Schizosaccharomyces pombe: one gene and its partners. The protein of the gene in region 2 purifies or fractionates together with the protein of the main gene of each other region. This does not show direct contact. Each region holds a gene or a part of one and is shown on either strand. Other genes may lie near its edges. The genes, in order: ade4, cbs2 and ppk9.

Region 1 (6,705 bases), 1.6 Mb from region 2:
TATTTGAGCACCTGAGGCGACTATGCAAGATTCTAAACGTACTCCGTCTTCAACAACAATGTTGTCCATCAAAATAGAGTTGCTGACCACTACCCCTTTTCCAATTACACAATTTTTACCGATAATGCTCTTTTTAATGTTGCTGTTATCCTTAATGGTGGTACCTTCATTCACCATACAATCGGCACCGACCAGTGCTCTTTCGGACACGGTGACATCTACAAGGCGTTGTTCTGGAGTAAGTTTGGCGATCTAGTTTGCTGTTAGAGATATTGGATGAAACTGCTAAAAAGCGAGATGAAGCTCAGCTTTCGAAAACATACGCATTTATTAAGTTCGAAATAGTTAGGTAAATTATTAGCCCTAGAACAAATAATCCCATCTTTGGCAATTAAAGCATTAATTTTAATTTCCTGTGAGGATAATCCCCCATCATAATTATCAATATTGTTAGGAGATGACAAAACTTTAATTGTTAGAAAATAGTTAATTAAAAAAAGCACTTACATCTTTGAATGTTCTCTCGTACAGTAAAGGATTTCTGATATTGACATTTAACAAGATACGGGATGAGATCTCCACGAATGCTAGAAATAGATTCTTTCTCCCGGATCAAATCAATAACCCAGTGTTTAAATACAAATATATGGGCATCCGAAAGGTTTGTATTTAACGTAACCCTTGGGTGTTTCCACAACAAAGACATTCTAAATGTAAAATCACTGCCCACGTCTGCGGAACTTTTGGCATACAATAGTCTGCTCGTCTTCTCTTCAATTCCAATCAGTTGTTTTGCATCAATCTCTTTAGATTGACTTGTAATATGCTCATATTTTAACACTGGACTATATACAGCCAGTGCTGAAGGGTTATCAAGGCGAAACTTATCCAAACCGTATATGGGAGGGAGACCAACTATACTATCACAACTGAGACACACAAAGTCATTCTGGTGGGTATCGGTTAGCATTTTTTGTGACTTTAAGACGAGTAATTAAATTGCAGAATGAGAGAGAAAAGATCAAAAAGTCTAAGAACACATGCATATCTACTTATACATAAAAATAAATCATACCTTTATAAGATGGGATACAGCACGAAGAGCATCGGCAGAGCTTTTAGAATCATCTAAAATAGTCGGTGCTTCCACGTGAATACGCATATGTCCCTCGTAGCCAGATCGTAACCAAGCATTGATATGGGCTTCCGCTTCTTCCATGCAAATAAGAATAGCAGAAGTAAATCCAGCAGCTTCAAGCCAATATAATGGGTAGTGAAGCATCGGTTTATTGCCGATAGGTAATAAAGCCTTGGGAAGTGCATCGCTTCCAGTCAAAGGATATAAACTAAAACATGGTTAGTATTTTCTTATTGTTATTTTATCTTTTTTAAGTGTTGATGAAGATAATATGTGCGAAGTCATCATTATCCAAATCGTTAAGTAGTCAGTACTACACTTGTTTGTTTTACCTATTGCCAAATCCTGCAAAAACAACAGCTTGAAATTCAATCGGAATAGACTGTAATTGAATATTCCCCCGATTTCGTCCACCAGAAATAGGTCCAAGGATTGAAGGGCTACTGGCTAAAGGAAGTGCAGCATGCTCATACAACGACATTGTGAGATGTTGTTCTTCAAGGCGTTGGATGCTTTTACAAAAGGTTTTTACCTAAAAGGATGCTTTGAAGCCAAAATCTTTTATAACCTGATAGAAGACGAATTATTGGGTTTTTTTGCAGTACGCCAATATTTGATGAAGATGGAAAACCTTACTTTCCTAGATCCCTACTAACGAGCCAAAAGTTTACACGTTACACATCACTATCTGAAATAAAAATGTGCTGAATTTATATTTGTGTTTAGAAAAATGTATTCATGAAATATGAACTATTGATGATTTTTTTTTAAAATGATTTACCAACTCAAAATGTGGAGCTGCTTGAAAACTAATTATTGCTTTGCACTTGTAATTTTGTTTAATGTGCAATATTAAAAAAGATGTTTTAATAATCAACGATTTATAAATCGGTACGTTTTCGCGATCCTGGTTTATAATCAATCCGATAGTAAAAAATATCAATCAAGCGCTCAGAAAATGATCCTCTGTACACCAATTAAGGAACAAATATTTGAAGCCGGTTAGTAAACTATTATTTTGAGGAATCAGAAGATTAGAGATACAGTACATTGTGTATTGTTTTCATTAGTTTTTTAAGTTTAAAAACCATTGGACTACTGCAATCGTAACAAGTTGAACTAAAAGTTTTGGATTAGATTACCCATAGCTCTCATCTCGGTGATTAATGTATTGTTGTTAACTACCGAGTAAAGAAGGAAGAAAAACCAGAACATTGAAAGATTTTATAACAAATAAATAGTAATGGGATACCTCCGGTAAAGCTCAATAATAAGTTGATGTGTATGCGGCATTACTGTAACACTGCACCACTCTTAACTTCATCGAATTTTTTTTGATATAAGAAGGTTTTATTTAAAGATATATTTTTAAGCTTAAAAAATTTTTTTTGGCAACAAAAATAGCAAACAATTTAATATCATCTACCCTGTCAGCTAAGTAGCAAGCTATACCTGTTACCTATATTAACGTGCGCATATCCCACCTCTCTTTAAGCTTCTATTTAGCGAATCGTTCATCACAATCTTGAGCAGTCATAGTTTCGACTCATACTTCACTATCATTTAAGGCGGACAATAAATTAATTTATACGGCAGCAAAATTTTGCCTTAACAATATACCCAACTACGGTGTTTGTTCAGCGCGTACCTGAAAATCTTTTTTTTTTTGTTTCGTACGCGTTTTAAAAAGTAAGTTAATATAGATATTGATTTTCCAACGCCGCAGTACTTGCCTATGATGATTACCGTTTATTTAGATGCTAGACTTCTGAATTTCATCTTATGTAGCTACAAGGTTTTCTGAGGTCTGCTTAATTGATTAAAATTTTTTATTTTCTGTGATGGTAACATACAACTCATTTTACGGTCGGTACAAAAAAATTGAAATTATATTCCAAGTATTCTCAAACTTTGATTGCTGTCCGAATAGAACAGTCCGACTCATATTATTTTAATCAAGTTATAGCAATTTGACTGGGTGCTGTTTTTTCTTTTGTACATTTAAACCTATCATTTTATTATCTTTTGTATTCAATTCACAACCGAAGCTCTAACAAGTTTTAGAAAATGTGCGGAATTTTGGCGTTAATGCTTGCTGACCCTCATCAACAGGCATGTCCTGAAATTTATGAGGGTCTTTACAGTTTGCAGCATCGGGGTCAAGATGCCGCCGGTATTGTAACCGCTGGAAACAAAGGTCGTCTTTACCAATGCAAGGGATCCGGCATGGTTGCCGATGTTTTTAGTCAGCATCAACTTCGCCAACTCGTAGGTAGTATGGGTATTGGTCATTTGCGCTATCCTACTGCTGGAAGTTGTGCTCACTCTGAAGCACAACCCTTTTATGTTAACTCTCCTTATGGTCTTGTGTTGGGCCATAATGGTAATTTAATTAATGGACCCGAATTACGACGCTTTTTGGACACTGAGGCCCATCGTCATGTAAACACTGGATCTGATTCTGAGCTTTTGCTTAACATCTTTGCTTACGAGCTTCAACGGTTGGATAAATTTCGTATAAACGAAAATGATATTTTCGAAGCTTTGCGTAATGTATACGATCGCGTTAATGGTGGTTATGCATGTGTTGCTATGATCGCAGGCTTGGGTGTTTTGGGATTCCGTGATCCCAATGGCATTCGTCCTTTAGTGATCGGTGAACGTGATACCCCCGAAGGAAAGGATTACATGCTTGCTAGTGAGAGTGTTGTATTGACTCAATTTGGATACCGTACATTCAGAGATATTCGCCCCGGTGAGTGTGTCTTTATTCGTCGTTCCAATAGGGAAGATATACTTGCAGGGTTTAGAGGCCCTCGCTTGTTTTCTCGTCAAATCCTTCCCTGCCTAAGATTTACTCCCGATATATTTGAGTATGTCTATTTCGCTCGTCCCGACTCTGTTATTGACGGATTGTCCGTATACCAATCCCGTTTAAATATGGGTGAAAAGTTAGCGCATACTATAATGAAACGGTTTGGTCCCGATTACATGGAAAAAATTGATGCTGTCATTCCTGTTCCAGATTCTGCTCGAACCAGTGCCCTTGCACTTGCACAGACAGCTCAACTGCCATACGTCGAAGCTTTTATTAAAAACCGATATATTGGTCGTACCTTCATTATGCCAGGTCAACAGATTCGTCGTAAATCGGTTCGTCGTAAATTAAATGTTCAACCTCAAGAGTTTTTTGATAAGAATGTTTTAATTGTGGATGACAGTATTGTTCGTGGTACCACCTCTCGTGAGATCGTTCAAATGGCTAGGGAGTCGGGTGCAAAGAATGTCTATTTGGCTAGTTGCGCTCCTATGATCACTCATCCTCATGTCTACGGTATTGATCTCGCTGATTGTAAGGATCTCATTGCTTATGGAAAAACTGAGGATGAGGTTGCTGAAGCAATTAGTGCCGATGGTGTCATTTATCAAACATTAGAAGATTTATTAGATTCTTGTCGTACGGCTGAGCTGACCGAATTTGAAGTTGGTCTCTTTACTGGCGAATACACTACTGGCGCTAGTAAAGAATATTTAGTCCATCTTGAGCAAATGCGTATTGCTAACAATCGTGCTCGTAAGCATAGCTTTGCAGAAGATGAGGAACGTGAAGCTCCCGAAGACATTTCTCTCCATAACACACATTCAGATGTTACTTTTGATTTTGTTTAATTCCCCAATTTATTCAATGCTTAGTGCTTTATTATAATAACCAATCCTCCATTTACTTTGTCTAGATTGATGCTCTAATCCATTGTTGAATACTAATAGAATGTACAATCGCCCCATCAATGGTTTTTTGGTTGATTTTAATTTCTGAATTTTTGTCCTCTTGAAACTTTTCTTGAAATTAAAGATAATTTCATCAGCTCCTTGTTGTTAATTTTACTTTTTGTTACCAATTAATATATATTGTTTCAATATATAAGTTTACCCATACTCTTTAAGACTATTAGATTATAAGTAGTGTCTGAAAAAAATTTTCTACACACTTTTATAAACATGCAATAATATACAATATTGGTTTTTTTTTTTTGGTCTCTTAACCTTTTCATAAAATGAAACATAATTCAAAGTCTGTTTGTACTATTTGCATAATTATGTTACAAACTCTTTCGACGTTTTTACTTGTATAGTCCACCAACTTCTTCATTTCTTTATATAAATGCGTATAACGGTAAAAGCATTCTTTCGTTTAATCAATAACTAAAAACCTATTAATTTAAGTCTATGTTTCAATACAACTCACTGTTTTGGCGAAACTCGTGTTGAATGATTCCGAAGAGAGGGGATTTCGATATCATCAGTGCCTTTTGTGATGATGTCTAGAAAGCGACAGGCATCCTCTAATGATTTTTTTGACATGGAACAGCTTTTGATAGCGAATGATGCATTAGTGCATCAGAATCACTCTACTCCCAATCATGCAAGCGACGAATTGTCTGTGAACGACCCTTCGCCTTTGAGCCGTGGCCTGCAGTCAGATGTCAACTCAAACATATCTAGAAATATCTCTAACACATTCTTTAAAAAGTCGATCTTTTTCTTCGTTTACTATTGTAAGCAAGCTTTAGAATTTATCAGCACTGTATTTTCCATCATAAAGTTTCTTTTGAACCGTCGAAAAGTTAGCTTTTTACTCTCATTTCTTTTGCTTTTCTCGTTGTTTTTACTAATACCTAATGATGGACGAGTAAATATTAAGTTTTTTTATAAGGATTTCGTAGACAGAATTCCTTTTCGGTTCATTCCTTCAAATTTTAATATAAGTTTTGGCAAACACTTGGAACAAGCGAAATCTCTGTTTAAATCCAAATTTGGTAATTCCTCTTCAACATATAATGAACGTGATTCTATAATGCCATTGCTAAAGCTACAGTCAAACCTTACAGAGGCAAAGACACTTCTTTATCAAAATCCAATTAGCCCTGAAGATGTTTTATTACATTTTTGGGATAGAAATTTAATGAGTACTTATGATCTTAAAATACAGGATATAAATGATTCTGTTAACCCTCTACTGAACACTTACCTAGATTTTATTGAAAAAGACATATACCTAGTGTCGCATCTGCCTGTTTCCGAAAAACACCCTGGGAACATCCCGATTTCATTAGTCAATAAGAGTGTTCAAGCCATTTGTTCTTTTGCCGAACATTACAATTTATTGCGAAATCCTTCGTATCGGGGCTTTCTGAGAATTAACAATGGAGAGTCTATTTTTAATTTACTTTGCATTGAAGATTTACACGAAAGTGTCAATCTTGATATTCTTTGTTTGAAAGATATATTACGGAACATTGCTCAAAGCTCTAAAGAAGCTATGTATATTGTAAAGCGACACAACTCATCACAGTCTTTTTATGGCAATAGATCGACCACCAATTTTTCAATCATAAACTCCGGTTTATATTTAAAAAAAGATGCTGCTAAAAATCTTTTGGCGAAGCAGTTTGATGCCACATATTCTTATTATCATAAAGACCTTGAGGAATCTGTTCATCAAAAACTCAATTCAAACTTAGAAAAAAGAGTTGAAAAATACATAAAACATTCTTGTTCCCAGAGAA
Region 2 (5,841 bases):
GTCAACGTTGCGAGGTTGGATCCAGCATCTTCGAAATCAACTGCTCAACTGGTTTCTATGCTAAATGAATTTCGATGTATTTTACGTCTTCCTGGTCTCTACAAATTAATCGTAAATTTTCGTAAAGATTCTTCTCCTGAAACTTACATGAGTAACGCAATCAATATTGGATACTATGTCACAGAAGGATTGGCATTCTTAGGCGGCAAACAGATTATTTCCATATCAAAACCGTTGGAAGACAAATTATGGCTTTGGTCTTCTAGATTTTGGCTTCTCGATACTTTATTGACCATTTACCAGCTTTTGCGTGAAAAAACAGAAGACGAAAAGGAGCATCAGTTAGACTTAGCTTCAAACTTGGCTAGCCTTCCTTTGTGTATTCACTGGTCTGTAGAAAATGGAGCTGGTTTACACAAACACCAAATTGGAGTTCTTGGTCTTTTCAGCGCAATTGTACAAACTAGAAAACTAATCCTCTCTTTGCACAATAAAAGAGCTTAGTTACGAATGAGCTTTTTAAATTTAAATAGAAGTTACTTTTTTCATGTAATTCTATTCGTGCTCAACTATTTTTCGTTTTCTCGAATGTCTATGTGAGTAAAGTAGTAAACAAAAGTGGTAACAGTCGTCTTGGTTTTTTCAGCAAAAATCGAAATATGCCATTCTAAATGAAGGGACTGAATCGGTTTAAAGCTTGAAAGGTTTTAGAAATGAAGTCGATTTTAATCGTTAATCCATTCCATTAAAGCGTTTTAAATTTTGGGATATTGATCGAAAATTTAATCAACGGAAAACATTAAGTTACTCTTTGTTTGTCACCAAAATGTACCTTGTCATTTTTTTCTAATTGAACTGAATATCTTTATTAACGAGTGTTTTTAATGGCCCTGCAATTTCAAATTGAGGATGTACGATATCATACTTTTAAGTATATCATATATAAACGTTAAGGAATTATTATCAACTATAATGCACTACTTTTTTAGGTTTCTTCTGAAGCTCAGTACTGTTGAGAATGTTCTAATTACGACTCAAGAATTGACGGATAATAGCTCGAATAATAAATTTGAGGCGACATAAATGGTTACAAGTTGATTAAAGAACATAGAGATTAATACACATACTGTTAAATATGGTTCAATTGTTGAATTCATTTGGACTTTAATTCCAGCTTTAATCTTAATTTTACACGCATCATAATGGTTTCACTCAAAAAATCAGATTCAGTAATATAAAACAATTTACTACTGACTGAGTACAACGATATTTTCATCTAAAAAAAAATCTGAAAATATAAAGAATATTGTTATTTAAAAGAAAGGAGAACAGACTACGACAAATTGAAAAAAATGAAGGAATTGGTAAACAAAATGTATCTATCGAAAACAACGCTGTACTACGTAAAGTGAATACTGTTCGTAACCGCATTCCATACGGATGGCTAGAATCCAGTAACCCTGCCCTAAACTGTGACTGCTTTATCTCATTAAACCTGCGAGAAGTCAAATTATGAGCTACCATCTGCAATCACCATGTTGTTGTACAAGGACGTTATTTCTGGAGACGAACTCGTTTCTGACGCCTACGACTTGAAGGAGGTAGACGATATTGTCTACGAGGCTGATTGCCAAATGGTCACTGTCAAGCAAGGTGGTGATGTTGACATTGGTGCCAACCCTTCTGCCGAGGATGCTGAGGAGAATGCTGAAGAGGGTACTGAGACTGTAAACAATCTTGTTTACTCTTTCCGTTTAAGCCCTACTTCTTTTGACAAGAAGTCCTATATGTCTTACATCAAGGGTTACATGAAGGCTATCAAGGCTCGTCTTCAAGAAAGCAACCCCGAGCGTGTTCCTGTTTTCGAGAAGAATGCCATTGGATTCGTCAAGAAGATTTTGGCTAACTTCAAGGACTACGACTTTTACATTGGTGAGAGCATGGATCCCGACGCAATGGTTGTCTTAATGAACTACCGTGAGGATGGTATTACTCCCTACATGATCTTCTTCAAGGACGGTCTTGTTTCTGAGAAGTTCTAAATGCAAATTTGGGTTCTTATAAGGGAGTTTCTAACTGGGAACATGATATCATGTCTAAATTTTATAGTTTTGTGAATTAGTTTTCACAAAATTTCATTAGGATTAGAACAGGGGTTTTTGTTCTGATAATAATTAATTATGCTAGCTTATAATCATGTTCAAATTGAAATTAGTGTTTTTTTATCGATTTTGTATTTGGTTGAATGGAAGATTGAGGTATCGATGTTTTAAAACGTGTGTGCTAAAATTCATGAATCTATTTATATATTAACAGGCCGAAATAATTTAGTAAGTAAGGATATGGTTTGAAATTTGGTATTTTACCATTAATTTAGTGTATTTTTTTGCTTTTTATCGAAGTTGATAATTCAAGTCCTTTACGAGGAATAGCCAAACTTTTGTTATGGCGACACTAGACGACCCGGTAGCCATTGAAACTTTGTTACAGTCGAAACTATAGTTTACTGTTAGTACTAAAGATTTGGGAAATTTTTGCTCGACGATGTTATTTTTGTAGCGGACGACTATTGGATTAAATTTATGCTTAATTGTTAAGCCTTTTAATCAATCTTATCATTGAGTTAATAGACTAGTTGCATTTAATTTTGTCAATGTATATTGTTACGTTTAAATAGTAAACTATATAAGCAGTTTAAATCAACGAGTTTAGCTACAATATTCCCCTAAGTGAAATATATCATTTAAAAGCACTAACAAATACGCATAATTTAGGCATTGTACTATTTGCAACTAATTACTTAACACCTCGATTTGTTGCCCTTGTGCGGGTTACCATTCCCCTCGCTCATTTATCTAGTCTCTTTTACCAACCACACCATATATCCTTTGACGAGGTCATGACAGACGTTCAAGAGACCCAAAAAGGAGCACTCGTAAGTGATATGGAATAGATTTTTTATTAAATAGAAATAATTATTAATCTATGTGATGTACAGAAAGAAATTCAAGCATTTATACGCTCGCGTACAAGTTACGATGTTTTGCCTACGTCCTTCCGTTTAATCGTGTTCGATGTTACGCTTTTTGTAAAAACATCACTTTCTCTTCTTACATTAAACAGTACGAAAGATTTTTCATTACAGATGTGAAATCAACTTATTAATCACGTCTTAGATATCGTCAGTGCTCCTTTATGGGACAGTGAAGCGAATAAGTTTGCGGGCCTTTTAACGATGGCGGATTTCGTCAATGTTATTAAGTATTATTACCAAAGCTCTTCATTTCCCGAGGCTATAGCTGAGATTGACAAATTTCGATTGTTGGGACTTCGTGAAGTGGAAAGAAAGATTGGCGCCATTCCTCCGGAAACTATATATGTTCATCCAATGCATAGTCTTATGGATGCTTGCTTAGCCATGTCAAAGAGCCGTGCTAGAAGAATTCCTTTAATTGACGTAGATGGCGAGACAGGCAGCGAAATGATTGTATCTGTTTTGACACAATATCGAATTTTGAAATTTATCTCCATGAATGTTCGTAAATCGTGTTATGTTTTTATATTTACTAATTTCAAATTTAGTGCAAAGAAACCGCAATGCTACGGGTACCATTAAACCAAATGACAATTGGGACATGGTCAAATTTAGCTACCGCGTCTATGGAAACGAAAGTCTATGATGTTATTAAAATGCTTGCCGAAAAGAATATATCTGCCGTCCCAATCGTTAATTCTGAAGGTTTGTGAGATGTTTTGAATTTTTTCTGTGAATAATTTATATATTAACTGAGCAGGTACCCTGCTAAATGTCTATGAATCGGTGGATGTAATGCATCTTATACAAGATGGTGATTATAGTAATTTAGACTTGAGCGTAGGCGAGGCTTTATTGAAAAGACCAGCTAACTTTGATGGCGTCCACACTTGTCGAGCTACTGATCGTTTGGATGGTATTTTTGATGCTATTAAGCATTCCAGGGTTCATCGTCTTTTCGTGGTTGATGAAAACTTGAAGCTCGAAGGTATTTTATCTTTGGCTGATATTTTAAATTACATAATATACGATAAAACGACTACGCCCGGCGTTCCCGAACAAACTGATAATTTTGAATCTGCCGTATAATTTGATTCTCGTGCGCTTCAGCCTGAATGCATTCATAATCTGTTGAAAACATTGCCAAGTCTCATGATATTTGAAGTTAAACCGTTGAGTTGTTTCTTTTTTTTTGCATGGCAGCTCGAGGTGGTATCTAATTCAGTGTACTCGAATGAGGCTTCTTTTATTTCAAAAAGTATTAATTCGGTTATTACAACTTCTGTCTATATAATATGATGTGACTTGTACCATTATGCTAATGCCTATCTAATTAAATAACTAACACATGCCTTTCATTAGCTACTAAGTTCGCATTTTTCTAGGAATGCATCAATTAACCGATCGTAAGTGTAATTTTCTTGTAAATATTCTTTCATATATGCATATTGTTCAGGTATGAGTATTAAAAGCTGCGTTGGCAGTAGATTACAATAATTTAATGTTCTTCGCATTCCATGCTACCAATAATTATGGAAGATGTACGAGTTAAATGACAGATCAATTGTGTGCAAGAAACTTCACACTCGCCGAGCATATGAAGTAGTTATTTACAACTAAGAAAGCTAACCTTTTCCGTAATGATAAGAGAGGGACGCATATCTAATCAACACACTACAAACTCATCTATATGTTAAAAATTTTCTTGAGTTCAGCAATGGTATCGTCAGGATTAGTAACAGAATGTCCGATAGTACGAGGGTCGACAAAAATTTCATAATCATTGCCGCCTTTGTATGTCTTGTCTCCAAAAAAGTGAATTGTATCAAATCCCTCTTTCTCTACGTGTTGCAAGCAATATGTCTTATCCCAACCAGCAGGGAACACATCAAAAGAGATTTGACCTCCAATGGAAAATGTCAATCCATAATCCTTGAATTTTTCGCGAAGAACATCGACCATGGTAGCGCGAATTTTACGACCCTTATCAAAACGTTCAAATTCATTGCGTTCCTCAGTATTGGCATTGCGTCCTACAGGAGATATGTTGATCATACCGTTGCGGAATTCAATGAAAGTACCACGCTTCACGGGAATATCCAGATCAGCAATGTAATGTAAGCAGAAATTAACCAGTTTTTGGTATTTTTCTTCTCCCAACCAGGCGATGAATGACTGACTAGCTAATTGCTGTCCATAACGATAAGCAGTTAATCCGTTTTCAGCAAACGCATAATCAAAAGAATCAATTACGTTTTCACCGTTGACACTCAGTTGCTCTTGTTGCTTGCTCAAATCACTACCGCCTACGAAGCCGATAGCGACAACCTTGCGAAGATTTTGCAAAGTTTCGAGCATTTCAGGGGAGACACTCTTTAAAATGTTAGTCTTGTTATTACAAAATGGAAAGAGAAATAAACTAGGTCATAGAGCATGAATAGCTTGCTCCCGAAATATTTTGGATAATTAAAACTTCCTTTCAAGCCATCTCTGATTAAATAATGGTGATGACCATAGAGAATGTGATTGGAAAATAGGAAATTTGATACAAGCCGGCTATTCAGATTGAATCCAAGAAAGCTCGACTGCAATAATCTAAACTTACCAAACGTGCAGGAGTGAGCGTTCCATCAACGTCAAATAAAACTAGGGTCTTAGGAAATTTACGCTCTTCAATAGGGATAACTGCCATTTTGAGAATTTGGTCGAAGGTAAGTGCAACTGGTAGTGGTATGGTGGTAACGCGTCGATGAAGCCCCCTCGATCAAGGTAAACAATAAGCCCCCTTCTACCTTCAAAGCATTAGA
Region 3 (6,207 bases), 2.2 Mb from region 2:
ATATTGGAAAAATTTGAAACGGCAAAAGCAGCAACGTAAAATATTTTTATATCATCATCGCATTCATTAGCTTTGTCTAGCATGTTAGAGTATTCAAGATCTTCAGCACACCGTTGCAGTAAATTACAAGGCTCATTAGAAACAACGGGTGCAGGAATAGAACTGATATCTTTTCCAATGTTTTTTCGTAAAATTGATAGTATGCTTGGCGGTGGAACAGTAATAGCTGGTATATTCTTTCTTCTTCCAACTTTGGAATGCGGTAAAGGGTAAAGAGAGTTGGAATCGGAGGGTTTAGGGGTGAGAGGCTTAGGGATAGAAATAACGGCCCCGTCGGCGATGTTTTTAGAAACAGAAGGCTTTTGAACCTCTTCATCGCTTTTAGCATTGGCAAAACTGGAATCATCCGGTGATGAAGAATCCATTAAATCATGGAATGGCTGTTTTCTTTTGATATCGTTTTCTTTATTGCTTTCAACTTCGGGAAGAGGCGGTGACCGAGAAGACTCATCTACTGTTGAGGCGAGAGAAGTTGCATTCAACTGTTCATGTGGAGCTGAAGAGTTGGATGATGTATCGGAAATAGAAGAAGTGTCAGAATCACGATCTGCATCAAGGGAAGTGCTATTAGAAGAAGTTTTCATTATTGGAATATCGGAATCAGAGATGTCCTCCACCTTTTCATTATGAGCAACACTTGATTTAGTAGCATCAGCTGCGTGAGCACCCGACTCAGAATAGTGATTCAATTGAGAAGTTGTGCTTTCATAATCTTCAGCGTCGTACCAATGTTGCTCAAAATTGGAATCCATAGACATGCGTGACGAAGGAGAAGATTGCGCCGTACGTTCTTTAGTATATTCATGGTGTTGAATAAAGCATTCCAGTTCATGCAACAAAGACCCGAGTTGACGAGTAACCTTGCGTAAAGTAACCGCAGCTTGCGCGTTTTCAGCAGCAGTAATTTCCACTGAAGTACGGGTTTCCTTGTTTTCTTTGGCATCACCGGGAAGTTGTATACGGATCTCAGGGACAGAAAAATTATGACTTGAAGCCGATTTGATACGACTGGTGCGATACAATTGAGCAATATCCAGGCATTCACGTAGTCTTGAGTAAATAGAGACTAACTGATTGGATGACGATTCTTGTGTCCTTTCGTCTACTACGAGCTTTGAAGAAGTTTGACTATTTTTCGCCTTTTCCAAAGCATTGCACCAACGTAGCCAATCTTGGTGAGTATGTGCTCGTAGGTTCCACAGTTCTACGCCTGAATCAACGTTGATCTCATGCGTCTCTGCAGCAACGCTAATCACAGCAATGCTCAAGGGAATTTTACCGCGCATTACCGAAGAATTTTCGTTAGCATAGTATGAGATCGTGCCTTCCACCATGTTGAGAGTGAAGTAACGTCGAGCATAGCCTTGGCCCTTCTTTCGGCGCTTTTTAAGCAAGGTTCCAGAAATAATTTGTTTAGGAGAGCCATGGACTGATGCATTTGGTATTCTCGGACCGTTGTATGGTTGCGCGGTCAAGAGGAAGGTCACAGTTTTTGGTTTTGTTTTCGAAAAAGTGTTATCAAACACGAAGGCATAAAGTCCTCCATTCTCAATGTAGACAGAGCCCTCACTAGGCTTTTCCGACATACATCGCTCTCCTTGATAAAATAATTCTAACCCAGCAGCACTCAACTTCTTGATACCAGCTTCGTGAGTGTGTTGACGCTTTGTATGCAGGATGGAACGATCGGTGTTTTTGTTGGATCCATCTAGCAAGCTAGATGTGTCATTCTTTTTATGATATATATCAAACTTTATGCTTTTCCGTTTCACATGCAGTTGCCAACTCAGTAAGGAATTCGATTCCACCGTGAGCCATTGTATCAACAGACTCTTACTTCGTATCTCCACAGTTTCCATGTTGACTCATGGACTTCTACTGTGATAATTGCAAAACTTAGAAAGCCTATTTTTTTCAATTGATGACTGGAGAGGAATAAAATAATTGCCTAAACGTATGTGGTAAGAGATGGATTTTCGGTTTCGGGATTTTCGGGCGAATGACTCCAAGGTATTTTACCGATGCGGAACGTTCGGTTTTTTGGCGGCCACCTAATGTAATGTATACTTAAGTAGTAAACAAAGGGCTGGTAGCGGCAATAGGTATGCCAGTATGTAAACGGATACAAAGAAAATTTTGCACTTATCACTTTCCGTAGTGTGTACTTGGGATGCCTCGATCGGGCTATTTCAGATATGGCAAAATATACTTTACATTAAAAAATAGCTATACAAAAACATTCGCACGGTCTGTAATATGCGGTTTTATGTTTGTCTACTAGCATTGATGGCATCGTGCGAAATAATGCGGGTTTTTGGGATTAAACCGAAAATCAAATGTTTTCTGTAGTCAAAAAATCTAGCTGTTGTAATTTTTTATTTAATTGTCTTTGAGTATTTCTATTACTGCTTTTACTAATTTTATCATTATCACGGCTGTATTGTTGTAGCTTATTGTGCAAAAAATTTTGGCTAGAAGTTGGGACGGATCTAATGATGGAAGAGGGTAAATAGAGAGTTCCCATGTACTCATAAACTTTGAAAATTGGCATAATTTCCCATAACACAATACCAGCTCGATTTTCCATTTCATAACACAAAATTTACATACCTATGCATCTGATAACCCATAGACCGCGTACCTTAATTAAATAAAGTGCAGATTGGTTGCTCGTATCGAACGCTAGCGTTGTCTGCAATGTCGCCGTGGAGATGTTTACCAAAAGATAGCACGTTACGCCATATAATCTTATTACAAGGTTGCTTTGAATCACACTACTTTGCCTCGTGCACCTTTTTTATCGCTAACAAATTAGCATCAGATGCGCGGATCATGTTTAAGTCGGACGGTATGCAGCAACATGCACATGCTAACCACCTATATACACGAATAACGAATTTCATCCTATAAAGTCAGCTGGCTCGACTTGCTATGCAAACCCCTTCTTCTGCATCGGCAGAGTCTGAAAAGGATTCAGGAAACACCTATGTTGGGCCTTGGCTTTTGGGAAGGACTTTGGGACAAGGAAACTTGGCCAAAGTGAAATGTAAGTACATGAGGTGAAATTTAGTTGACTTTGTCTTGTAGGGGCTTGTTAATAAGATAGAGTAGACTACTTATAGACAGTAGAGATAGACTACTTAGGTGTCATGGTTATCTTGCGCATCGATCGTCTTTGATTTTGTTTTTGGCAATTGTACGATGGCTAACAGTGTAGTGGGCAAGCATTTTCAAACAAATGAAAAGGTCGCATTGAAAATGGTTTACAATGATGAATTGGAAGATAAAGATACGTGGAAGCGTTTACAAAGAGAAGTGACAATCTTAAGGCAATTGCACCATCCAAACATTATCACCCTATACCAGGTGTTTCGGGTTCCCAAGTACACAGTGCTCGCACTAGAGTATATGGATACTGATTTGCACAGTATGGTGGTTAAGCATAATCGACTGGATGAATGTACCACTCGCAAGATTTTTCGACAAATTGTCCATGCCATCGATTATTGTCATCTTCATCGTGTTGCTCACCGAGATTTGAAGTTGGAAAACATTTTACTTAATAAAGATCTGGTTGTCAAGCTCACGGATTTTGGCCTTTCCAATTTTATGCTTGATGGTTCCTTTCTGAGTACCTCTTGCGGTACTCCCCATTATGCTGCTCCTGAGGTTATTCAAGGCCGTTATTATGATGGTTGTGATGTAGATGTATGGGGTTGCGGAATCTTATTGTATTTGATGCTCGTCGGCGAGTTTCCCTTTGAGGATGTAACCATCTCCAATGTATTAAGTCGCGTTTGTAAAGGAATCTACACCATTCCTAGTTTTGTATCTTCTTCAGCCTCAGATCTCATTCGTCAAATGTTAATGGTGCTTCCTACTTCACGAATCAAAGTTGCAGAAATAATGCAACATCCTTGGTTTATCGCTGATCTTCCCACGCATTCCCGTTTACCTTCCCGTACTTCATCCTTTTCTTCCAAGCATCGATCTGTCACCTTTTCTCCTCCAGATCTTGCTATTCTTTTCGACCCTTCCATAACTTCGCCTTCCAGTAGTGTAGGTCAAATTCCTCAGCCCACAGATCACTCAGCCCTATCCCCGTCAAAACCAATGTCCATTTCAGGTACTGAATCTCCTAATCCAGATCCCGCATCTTTATGTTATTCGTCGTATGAGGACTTGTATTCGGCTACTTCGTGGCATTCTGACATGGCAGAATCATCCGGATTTTTAGATCCTACTGATATTCCACCAATTCCTTCTAACGTTGAAACTTTACGCTCTTCTCTTCCACAGAGACATGCTTCATTCATGAATAAGGTCTACAACCATCCATTATCCCGACCTCCCGCCCCCAACCGACTTCGTTCTTTACGCTGGCATTATGGGATTCAAACTGCCAAAAATCCAATTGAAGTATTGAGAAAGCTATGTGAGGCTTTACTTGAGTTAGGAGCTCGGTTTCGGCCCTGTGATGAGGAATCTTTTCTAAAGGAAAATAAGTATAAAGTGTTTTCATGCATTACATGTCATAATTCTCCTGTTTATCTGGTTATTGAATTATTCTCTATTGGACCATCTGCTAGCGTGATTGATATCCGCTTTTCTAGTAGTGATGATTCTATAAAGTACACTTCATCTTACAGTCCAATGCCATTTTTAGAAGTTGTCAAACAATTGATCCTTAAAATTGCATAAGGTCAGTCGCGTAACTCAACCTAATTCCCTTTTTTATCCTTTTTTTTTCTTTTACGATTTTTTTTGTTGTAAAGCTTTTGTTTTCAATATTGTTTGCATTTACTAATATTGTGAAACTAAGTTGAATTTTGATATTTTTGTTACGACTTTCTCATTTAGTTTCAATTAGAATTCACAGTTGTTACATTTCCCTTTTGTTTTTTGAATTTGTTAGTTATTTCACAAACAATGAAGATAAACAGTTGTAATATTACAACAGAATTATGCTAATGTAATTTACTACAATCTTTTATTTTTATTCATGAAGTTAAAGAGTGAAGTAGTGTATATGCATTAAATGTGAATGTTTGTCCATACTCACAGTAATTCCTAGTACGGAATATAAAAGCAACCAATTAATTTTTGGAAATTGTGGAAGTGCCAAGTATGCCGTATACGTATATTTATTGTTCATGTGAAATTTAAGGGATAAGATGCTTCCTTTGGAAAAATGAACGTAAATAGAGGATTTGCCATATAACAAGAACAAATAATGAGATAAAAGTAAGATATGCAAAATTCTTGACACGCTCATTAGTACTTTCATTAGTGTTTCTGAATCTAGCTTCGCGAGCTTGCAAATAGTAAATTTTTCCTTTGATTTCTTCAATGAAGTCTCTTGCACGACGGATATCAGCTTCTACAGGTTCCAAGTTGTTTGCTTTTTGCAATGAAGAATAATCATCGGCGTCAGCGCCTACAGTAAACTCAAGTTTGACGGATCGCTTTTTATGTTCAGACTCTATAGCACCTACATTTAAATGTCAGTCAGAAAGCTAAACTCATAAAGGATTTCTTTTTCAAAGAAAGAAAGGGATCTAAACAACGTAAACAAATCAAAATAGCCGTTGAAGTAAATACGACTTTTAGATATAGTACCATACCTGGTGTCAAAGTATTTAGGAAGCAAATATCGAGCATAGCAGAAGCATCAACGTCAAAGGCAACACTCTTCTCGCCTAAGACATTTTGAATACTGCTATGAGTGTTGCCAGATGAATCAGTTATCATCATACTCAAGGTTTGTCCATCTCCCATATTACCAGTAGTTTTCAGATTAACAATTACAAGGTTCTTTTCTCCTACGTATTCACGAAGACAGAAAGGCTCTGGATTGGTTTTGGCAGGAATATCAAAGTTTAAAGCATGGACAACAGTCAATAATGCTAGCATAAAGAACAACGAAGATTTCAAAGAAACCATCATTTTGAAATAACTCCAAATGTTTGGGATACGATATGAACGACGTAATAACCACCACTGCTGTATACAGGTTGGCAAAAGAAAGAAATCTTGCCTGTTCTAGTTAAATGATGGTAAACCGAATGCCAAGGGGGAGTGTGCGCTGCGTCTCATTAACTTTCCTTACAGCTACAATGCAACAAAAAATACAAAAATAAGAATTCT

What was found.
Region 1: the proteins of cbs2 (region 2) and ade4 purify together in Schizosaccharomyces pombe (affinity purification with mass spectrometry, with the first as the bait; one study listed by BioGRID). This does not show direct contact.
Region 3: the proteins of cbs2 (region 2) and ppk9 purify together in Schizosaccharomyces pombe (affinity purification with mass spectrometry, with the first as the bait; one study listed by BioGRID). This does not show direct contact.

What each region holds. Positions count from the first base shown.
Region 1 is NC_003424.3:5,362,462-5,369,166, reverse strand, and holds ade4 (amidophosphoribosyltransferase Ade4), read left to right. Parts: upstream 1-2,748; 5' UTR 2,749-2,827; intron 2,828-2,869; exon of another isoform or gene 2,870-2,944; intron 2,945-3,044; exon of another isoform or gene 3,045-3,202; 5' UTR 3,203-3,205; coding exon 3,206-4,807; 3' UTR 4,808-5,179; downstream 5,180-6,705. Other genes in the region: translation initiation factor eIF2B gamma subunit tif223, read right to left, coding at 1-252, 324-466, 508-949, 1,076-1,346, 1,471-1,619; protein Csi2, read left to right, coding at 5,454-6,705.
Region 2 is NC_003424.3:3,805,729-3,811,569, reverse strand, and holds cbs2 (protein kinase activator), read left to right. Parts: upstream 1-2,867; 5' UTR 2,868-2,899; coding exon 2,900-2,935; intron 2,936-2,998; coding exon 2,999-3,122; exon of another isoform or gene 3,123-3,176; coding exon 3,177-3,535; intron 3,536-3,582; coding exon 3,583-3,739; intron 3,740-3,794; coding exon 3,795-4,123; 3' UTR 4,124-4,438; downstream 4,439-5,841. Other genes in the region: SPOM_SPAC1F12.04C (uncharacterized protein), read left to right, coding at 1-504; tma19 (translationally-controlled tumor protein), read left to right, coding at 1,536-2,042; phosphomannomutase Pmm1, read right to left, coding at 4,721-5,407, 5,640-5,726.
Region 3 is NC_003424.3:1,603,874-1,610,080, reverse strand, and holds ppk9 (serine/threonine protein kinase Ppk9), read left to right. Parts: upstream 1-2,931; 5' UTR 2,932-2,991; coding exon 2,992-3,106; intron 3,107-3,277; coding exon 3,278-4,761; 3' UTR 4,762-5,008; downstream 5,009-6,207. Other genes in the region: sterol transfer protein Osh3, read right to left, coding at 1-1,919; COPII-coated vesicle-associated protein Erv25, read right to left, coding at 5,223-5,551, 5,685-6,006.